Linked DNA regions of Saccharomyces cerevisiae S288C. The protein of the gene in region 1 interacts with the protein of each later gene in a pairwise test. Each region holds a gene or a part of one and is shown in the gene's direction. Other genes may lie near its edges.

Region 1 (3,984 bases):
TACATCAATTTCATTTGTGGTTAATTCAAGTACCTCCTTGCTCACTAACCTTTCAACTGTGTTAGGTTTTTCAATTGAATCAAATGCGCTTATTCTTAATACCCCCGTTTGTTTTGCAAAGTAGATGCCCCTAGAGATATCATAGGCAAACGCTCCAAACTCGTAAATATCCTGTTTTAATAAATAAAGTAATTTGTGGGGAGACTTTGTCAGAACGCTTGAGCTGTATTCTATATTTGTTATTTTTATTCCCTTTGATTCAGCACAATCCTTGTACGTCAGTGCTAACTTTTCTTGTGATTCGCTTTTAGGTTTTATGATATTAACGATACTCACAACACCATACTTTGAGGTTAAATTATCAAAATGCCTGTCAAAAGCTCCCTGAGCTTCAATAGAATCTTTTGTTACCTTAATTTTTTTTCCATACAACAGTTGACTTTCTACAGATTCCCAAAAAAGAGGAATGCTTCCGTTCACTTGAGTATAAGAAAAAATAAACTTTTCTGTGGTTACTACAATTTCTGTCTCAACAAATAGCGACACTCTCCCATCTTCACTAATACCCTCCAATTCTAGCGTATCCTGCTTGCTCTCAGTCGAAATTCTGGAAATAATGGTTATAGAGGCTGTATTTGGGCCGTCTTCTATTAATGCTGTCTTGCAATAACCCCGAATTACAAATGTTAAGAACCCTGCGTTGGCAAAAAGTTGTTTCTCCTCATTTGAAATCTTGCTTCTCCAGTTGATTACCTCACTTGCTAAGTTAGCATTCCAAATAAATGATAAATCTTGATTATCTACGGTATATTCTAAGTTATGTGATAAACCATGGTTTTTCACGATATTAGAGATGTCGAAATCTCTAGAATAGTAGAATGTTCCATCACTAAACAGTTTTTTCAGGGGGCCGCAAGGATGCTCATGAATCAATTTATCATAGTTTTGCTCTGATCTCTCGCAGAGGAGGTAGTCGAAAACATCATTTTCTAAGCTGTAAAAGTCAACATCCAATACTTTATAAATGCTCTCCGAAGGCCTAACTTGATGATCTATCAGTTTCCATCGAGGAAACCCAACATTCTGAACACCAGATATGACGGCAACATATATATCACCATTAAGACAAACGAGCCCTAATAATCCATTAAATATGCAACTTTTGACTTCGAGATAGTTACTATCACTTGAAAGATCTGTGTCAGGGTAGGACTTGATTGTTACGCTAGGAGTTTTACTTAATTGACGCTGCTGAGAACTGGCACCTGGTATGCTGCGCAAACGCTGGAAGGATAAACAGTAGTTGTTGGAAGATATTACAATCGACCGTGATCTTCTACCGATGAAGAGTCTCATTGTAGTGAAATGTGCTTCGAATTCATACGATTAACACAACTTTATCAATATTTGCTGACTTAATCCTAGAATGAAATAGAAAGGCTATTTGATTTGTGTAGATATTTGTTCCAACTTTCCGGTTTACAAATGTTTAACAAAGGGATTCGTTTAGCAATTAGGCAATGCTAAACAAGAAGGAAAACAGGAAACCCTGAAGGAGATAAAACGACGTCAAGAATAGAAGATAAAAAAAAAGGGACATTAACAGGTTATATTGAAACTCAATTCCTGCCTAACCTTCTAAATTGAGAATTTAGAAACGGTATCGCTTATTCTGAATTCCTAAAACACCCATCCCTTTTAAGTAAAATAATAATACGTGGACTACGTAGATGTGGACACTCAATTTACTTACTATTCTCTATGGTCATATTGACAATAAACAAAAATACAAGAAAAAAAAAACTACAGGAAAGATTTGTCATAAATTGTACACTACCACTTGAAAACGACCTTTGGCATATTTATGGCAGATAAATTAATGGACAAAAATTTTGAAGAACTGTGCTATTCATGCCGCACTGGTGATATGGACAATGTTGATAGATTGATTTCCACGGGAGTAAATGTGAATAGTGTTGACAAGTTTGACAATTCGCCACTTTTTCTGGCTAGCCTTTGCGGGCATGAAGCAGTCGTGAAACTTCTTCTACAGAGAGGAGCCGTCTGTGATAGAGACAGATATGAAGGAGCTCGATGTATTTATGGAGCATTGACCGATACTATCAGAGATACCCTTTTAAGTTATGATATATCCAAGGCTGTAGATGTCAAGCAACCCTTTGCTACTCATATCTCATCGATGTATAATGACGAAGGCTTCCTTAAAAGAGATATCACATTCAGAGTTTCGAATGGAAAACTGTTCACAGCGCATAAGTTCTTATTATGTGCAAGGAGCGAAATTCTAGCAGAAAAAATGGTGAATGAGTGGGCAAAGCATGAAATTGTTTCTCTTGAAGTGCGCCCAGATATATTTGACATATTTTTGAAATTTCTTTACTTAATTCCGATCCTGCACCAAATTGAACCGGGACAATATGAAGAACTTATAGAGCTATCTAGTAAATTTGATATTGAGTTATTGCCCGAATTTTTAGACAAAGCAAGGCATACCGCCGATCCTACGGAAAAGTCGAGGTTAATGTCAGATTACCAATATAAGTTTACCGAGGTTGCAAGAAGTCAACTTTTAATATTTGTGAACAATTGTATCTTTAGATCTACTGTTGATCTTGCTAATAGTGAACGACGAGTTTTTTCCTTGATGAACTGTCCAGCTTATCCGGATGTTCAACTTATGGTAAAAAACCGAAATGGAGCCATTCGAATATACCCTTGTCACCTGGCTGTTTTGAGCCGCGCAGAATATTTCAAGGTGATGTTCACAAACAACTTCAAGGAGAAAGTTACATATATCAAAGCCAAGCACGTTACAGGAAAGTATAATAGTATCATTCCACAGCTGACATTACCCAATTGTGAGTTTGAGGTTGCCGAAATTATTCTCCGCTACTTATATGCAGATAATACAGACATTCCTTGGATGTATGCCGTCGATGTTTTGTTACTTGCCGATATACTTTTAGAAGACCGCTTAAAAACTATCGCTTCTACAATTATAACACAATCAAAAGAGTTTATTCAGCAATACAATGTTTTTGACGTACTCTATTTATCATGGGAAATAGGAGTGGAACGCTTAGAACAATTTGCAGCTAAATTTATAGCTATACATTTGCAAGAGTTATATAAAGATCCAGAGATTAAAAGGGCAATTATGTTGAGTTCACAACGAATTTCTCTCCGCCAGGAAACTGATACTATTGAACTAGTGGATGACATTAGGTACTATTTGCTCCGAAAATATTCTTTTGAACCGGATGATGTGGAGCTGTTCGAAAACCAAGACGATTTAGAATACCTAAAACAAGTAGGGTATTTGGAGTACAGAAAAGATATGGGTATGTTAGATAATATCCTAGCTGATCTGGAACTTGATGTATAATTCCGCATTCAATAACCTTATGTATTTTTACGCGTCACTGCGAACGGATGAATATTGCCAATGACTGCTGCGCACTCTTAAAAAATATAATGACAATTATAATAAGAAGTATGATACTTTTTCTGTAAAAAATATATATACATATGATTCACGTGAAAATTTTTATATTTTTAATTAAATTTTTATAATATTATAAATTATTATAATATTGATATTTAAAATTAAAAACAAATTATTAATGGTTTTGTTTTCCGAAATGTTTTTTATAATTATTACTTCAGAATAGTTATTTTCACGAATACGAGATACAGGGTAATGAAAACAGGTGTTATCCAAAAAAAAAAATTGATATATTTTAGATACTTTACATACAGAGGCAAGCTTCAGCTGTAGCCAGGTACATAATATTCCCTATAAAGTGATCAATATTTTTTAACGAAAAATTAAAAAAAAAAATCCTTGAATAAAGGAATGAAAATATTGTAACAAGCGATGACATTTCTTTTTTTGATTGTAGTTGTGGCATTTTATATTTGCTTTTGCATTTACCCTATTCTTGAAGGTTTGGATAGACAAGC
Region 2 (4,678 bases), on another chromosome or scaffold:
GTTTTTTTAAATCGATAAGCGTATTGATTTTTTTCAAAAGCTCCTCTTGTCTTTCCATTACATCAAATGAGGGCATCACAGGGCGAGAAGGTAACGATAATTCTTGAAGAATGGCGAGAATTTTGTTCTGCAGCGCAGGTTTGAAGGTCGATAATTTTGTAGATCTTAAGTATACACCCGGCGATAGCTTCTCACCATGCGTAATCACACCTAAAGCCTTCCTTTCATCTGAATTGAAATCTTTCAGCAATTGTTCTGCATATGCGCTTTCTGACTTTCTTTTGAGCGCCGTTTGCATTTCCTGTCTTTGTCTTTTGGTTTTCTTGGGGGAGAGATTTTCCTTGACTTCTGACTTTTTTACATTCAGTTGTTGAAGTTGCCTATGTTGGGCAAACTGCTGTTGCTGCTTCATCCAAGGATTTTCAGGGATGTTCAAATCGTGCTTCCGCTTTCTAGTTTTATCTGCTAGAAGCGCGTTATATAACTGAGACATTCCCTGAGAGGTAAGGTATTGTGTAATTGTCTGATCTGAATGTGGCGAGTCCAACAGTCGGAGTAATGATTCTCTTTCTGCAAGTGTTCTCTTGGCAGCCATTTCAAATTTTTTGGACTCTACTACGAGTGCCTCTTCTTCAGCAATTTCTGCTGCAGAACGAGAAAGAAGACGCTGTAAATACTTTTTTCTCTCTATCTCCTTTTCAGCTGAAAAATTCAAAGAAGATAAAAGCGGATTGCTAGGATCACTTGCTTTAAAATAATTCCTACAGGTGTAATAAAATTTTTCTTTGAGATCTTCAAGTGTTCTTGAATTATTATAACTGTATCTGTCAAAGATCAGGAACCAACGTAAATCGTATTTTTTGCAGAGATTGAACAGGTATTCTATTTCTTCAAAAGACCAGCTATTTTTACTTTCATCCTTCTTTTCATTAGTAAAGTTTTCGTTATGGTTTTTTTCACTTTCTACGCTTTTTTGAGTTCCTTCGTTTTCATTCATAAAAGCCTCGTACTCCTCCTTGGTGAATGATGGAATAGATAAATGCTGATTGAACTTAGAATATGGCGATTCTTTTGGTGTGTCTCCTATTAATTCTTTGGAACCCTTGACCCAATGACGCAGAGTCACAGAGTTATTAGCTTTGAACTCTACAAATGACCAAGGAGATGGCTTGGACGTCGAAAGCATTTTTTCTTTAAAGTTATTTCCAGACTTAATAACAACGGGGGGTTGGTTCTCTCCTAGCAGGTTAAATAGTTCTCTTTGCATGCCCGTCACTTGAGGCTTGGGCCGGTTGGCTGCCGAGGACGAAGGCACTGATACCTGGCCATTAGTTGGACTTCTGGATTTTTGCTTAATGTTTAGTACATCAAAGATGTCTGATGATGACATATTACCTGTGGTTTTTTTACTAAATTTTCGTATTATCGGAGAAATATGTTATGAATGCTTGTTGCTATTAAAATACAAAGTGGATTCTTGATTTATCACTAAATAGCTACCCGGAGTTGGCGCATCGCAACTTCATTAAATAAGTTCGAGTGTGCGTATTCTAATCTGATTCATATAAAGTATACTCTAAACGGGCTAACTCAAATCTGAAATTAGGGCTACTATATGATAACTAATAAGAAAATAAAGATAAGTGTCCCAGAAAAACTCGGTTTGTCAGAAGAATCTTTTGAGGAATCCTGGGAAACAGTTAAATATGCCATTGATCATATATACAGCGATGACATGGCCGACCTTTCCTTCGAACAAGTGTACAAGACCATTTATACTATCGTTTTAAATAAAAAGGGGCCAATACTTTATAACAGATTGAAAGATTATTTAATCCAAAAATTAGCGCTTTTGAGGGAAACGATAGTCAAGGACAATACTCATGATTATGAGTTTCTTGGAACTATGGCACGGTTATGGGAGGTGCAATGCCATTGTTTTAAAATAACGGGAGACTTAATGATGTATATGGACAAAGTTTATTGCAAACCAAATAGATGCATGGAGGTATACGACATGTGCCTCGATCTTTTCCGAATCGAAATATTGCAAAAATGCTCATCTTCTCTCATCTCAGCACTGATATCTGATATAGAAAGGATTCGTAATTTAGGATCTGTCGACTCCGAACATACTAGTTTGTGGAAAGTACTAATAGGAATGATGGAGACATTACATGACAATAGAGATAGTTTTTTCTTAACCGATTTTGAGCCGGTTTTGATTAGCGCGACAGAAGAATACTACAATAAAGCTATTGATATTGAATTATTAACGCCAATTGAGAGCCTGGAAAAGATTAGGAAGTTAAGGCAGTTTGAAAGTATGCTAGACTCCTCTTTTCTAAATGTGGATTCTCATAATAAGTTGAAGACTGTATTAGAAAATGTCCTTATATGGGGAAAGTTGAGTGATATTATTGAAGATCTAACGCACGAAGCAATGGTAATTTCAAATGGAAAGCTACTCCAAGAAATTTATGACTTGTCAAGCGAGGAAAAATATCGCGTTACTGTCATTGAATCTATTAAATCTTACATCAATAAAAATGCCATAAATATTCCTTTTAATGAAGGTAACCGCAAAAAAGGGCAGAATGCGATTACTTGGTCTTCGGAAATTGTAGAGCTATATCGCAGTCAACACTCGTTTTTGGAAAGTATTGATTTTGGTTCTGTTCGTCTTAATAATTTGACCGGGGATGTATCTAATGCAATACTTGGCGATGTTTTCTCAATGTATTTCTCTAAAGAAGGAGCATTACCATCTGAGTATCTTTCTACCTACGTGGACCATTGTATGAAACGAACCAAGGAAAAAGATGCTGAAATAGTGAAGATCAAGCAAGATTTGCTTGATAGTACCAAATTAATCGGACTCCTAACTGAGAAGGATATATTTGAAAAGATTTACAAAAAACAACTCTCCAGAAGATTACTGCAGCAGAGGTCTTTAGTGGAAATTGAAAAATGGATGGTGCAAATGATAAAGAAGGTTCTAGGAACTTTTTTTACCTCAAAATTGGAGATAATGCTGCGAGATATATCTTTATCCTCTGAAATGTATCAAGCATTCCAACACTCAACAATCAACAGCATAGAATATTTGAGTTTTGCACCACAAGTTTTGACGAGAACGAGCTGGCCCTTTCAGAGTACTAATCCAATTGATGAAGGTATTTCACTACCTCCTAGAATGTCACAAATTTTAGCTGGCTTTGAGGGCTATTACAGCTTAAAATACAAAGAAAGAGTGCTAAAGTGGGCTCATCATCTAAGTGTAATTGAAATTGGCTGCCAATTTAATAGCGGTTACTACGAAATAAGTTTTTCTGTTTACGCTGGAGTGATTTTCCTTCTATTTGAAGATTATGAAGAATTAACGTTGGGGGAAATATATGAACTAACTCATATTCCCATAGATGACGTTAAGTCTCTTGTAATGTCAATGTCGACAATACCCAGATGTAAGATTTTGAAAAAATCATCCAGTTCAGGAAATATGAAATTTTCAGTTAATTATTTCTTTTCTTCTCCAAACAGGAAAGTGAAAGTGCCGGTTATTGCATGCCCTCTACCATCTCAGAAATCAGATAATTTGGCAACCGCAAGTTCCGTGGACACTTATGATAATGAAATTGTTATGGAGCTTAGTGCTATTATTGTTCGTATCATGAAAACAGAAGGTAAGCTAAGCCATCAGCAATTACTTGAAAGAACTACGAAACGGACACAGTCTCGGCTCAGTCTTACACCGAGCATTTTGAAACGAAGCATTCAGCTTTTAATAGAGAAAGAATACATCCAGAGAAACGCAGATGACCCCTCTTATTACCATTACCTTTCCTAATTGCTTATAATGAAAATCACAGGTATAAGGTTTGCAGAATGCCAACAGTATATATAGATGGCAGTTCCTATCCGGCTGCCAGAGCGAACAATATTAAGAGGATATGCGTCGATACTAATTGAATGTTCATCCTGCATTCCTTAGTGAAACTTTCAAAATATATAATAACATAGTTATGGTAGACTATATATCCCAGTCAAACTTGAATGTAATGTGGAGTGGGTAATCGATATCTCTTGAAGTTTATTATGCCTCATTATATTTTTATAAAAAACTTCTAGGAATTTGTTGAGTCAAATAATTTCTTTCTTAATCATTAAGTAAGTTAAAGTTACGAGCCTTTCAGACCTGCGTAGCACTGCTTCAAAGGAACTATTATCAATAGCAGCGCCTTGCTCTTTTTTTTTTTTCAGATGCTTAGCGGCCGTATTTCACTTTTCCTGGTAGAAAAATATATGTTGAAATTTACGGTATAAGAGAAGCTCACCAAAATTATTATCAATAAAGCGGCACTTTTAAATTTGGTATTCTTCCCTGGTTGTCAAGCCTTGGTTTCCCTTTATTTGATAGTATGAGCGAAATAAATAATGAAAATCTAGAGCCAACCTCAAGTACAGTAGCTGAGTCTACAGAAAGCAAGAATAAACACATTCGTAGCGCTTTAAGAAAACGAAGAGGTAAATTAAGCGCCCAAACTTATGAGGAAGATCAAGAGGCTATTTTATCATCTCCTTTATTGACTTCAACACCTAAAACAGTCTCCAGGTCATTAGTGAGGTTATACCCATATTTAATTGTTGTGGATAACTTTCTAAGTATCATCACTTG

What was found.
Region 2: the proteins of YIL001W (region 1) and CUL3 interact in binary tests that used the Saccharomyces cerevisiae proteins (3 or more experiments, as listed by UniProt).

Annotation. Positions count from the first base shown.
Region 1 is NC_001141.2:352,076-356,059, forward strand, and holds YIL001W (uncharacterized protein), read left to right. Parts: upstream 1-1,864; coding exon 1,865-3,406; downstream 3,407-3,984. Other genes in the region: phosphoinositide 5-phosphatase INP51, read right to left, coding at 1-1,356.
Region 2 is NC_001139.9:498,517-503,194, forward strand, and holds CUL3 (cullin CUL3), read left to right. Parts: upstream 1-1,615; coding exon 1,616-3,850; downstream 3,851-4,678. Other genes in the region: SWC4 (Swc4p), read right to left, coding at 1-1,390; PEX31 (peroxisome biogenesis protein), read left to right, coding at 4,422-4,678. UniProt on the Saccharomyces cerevisiae protein: As part of the CRL3 E3 ubiquitin ligase complex; polyubiquitylates monoubiquitylated RNA polymerase II subunit RPO21 to trigger its proteolysis; plays a role in global genomic repair.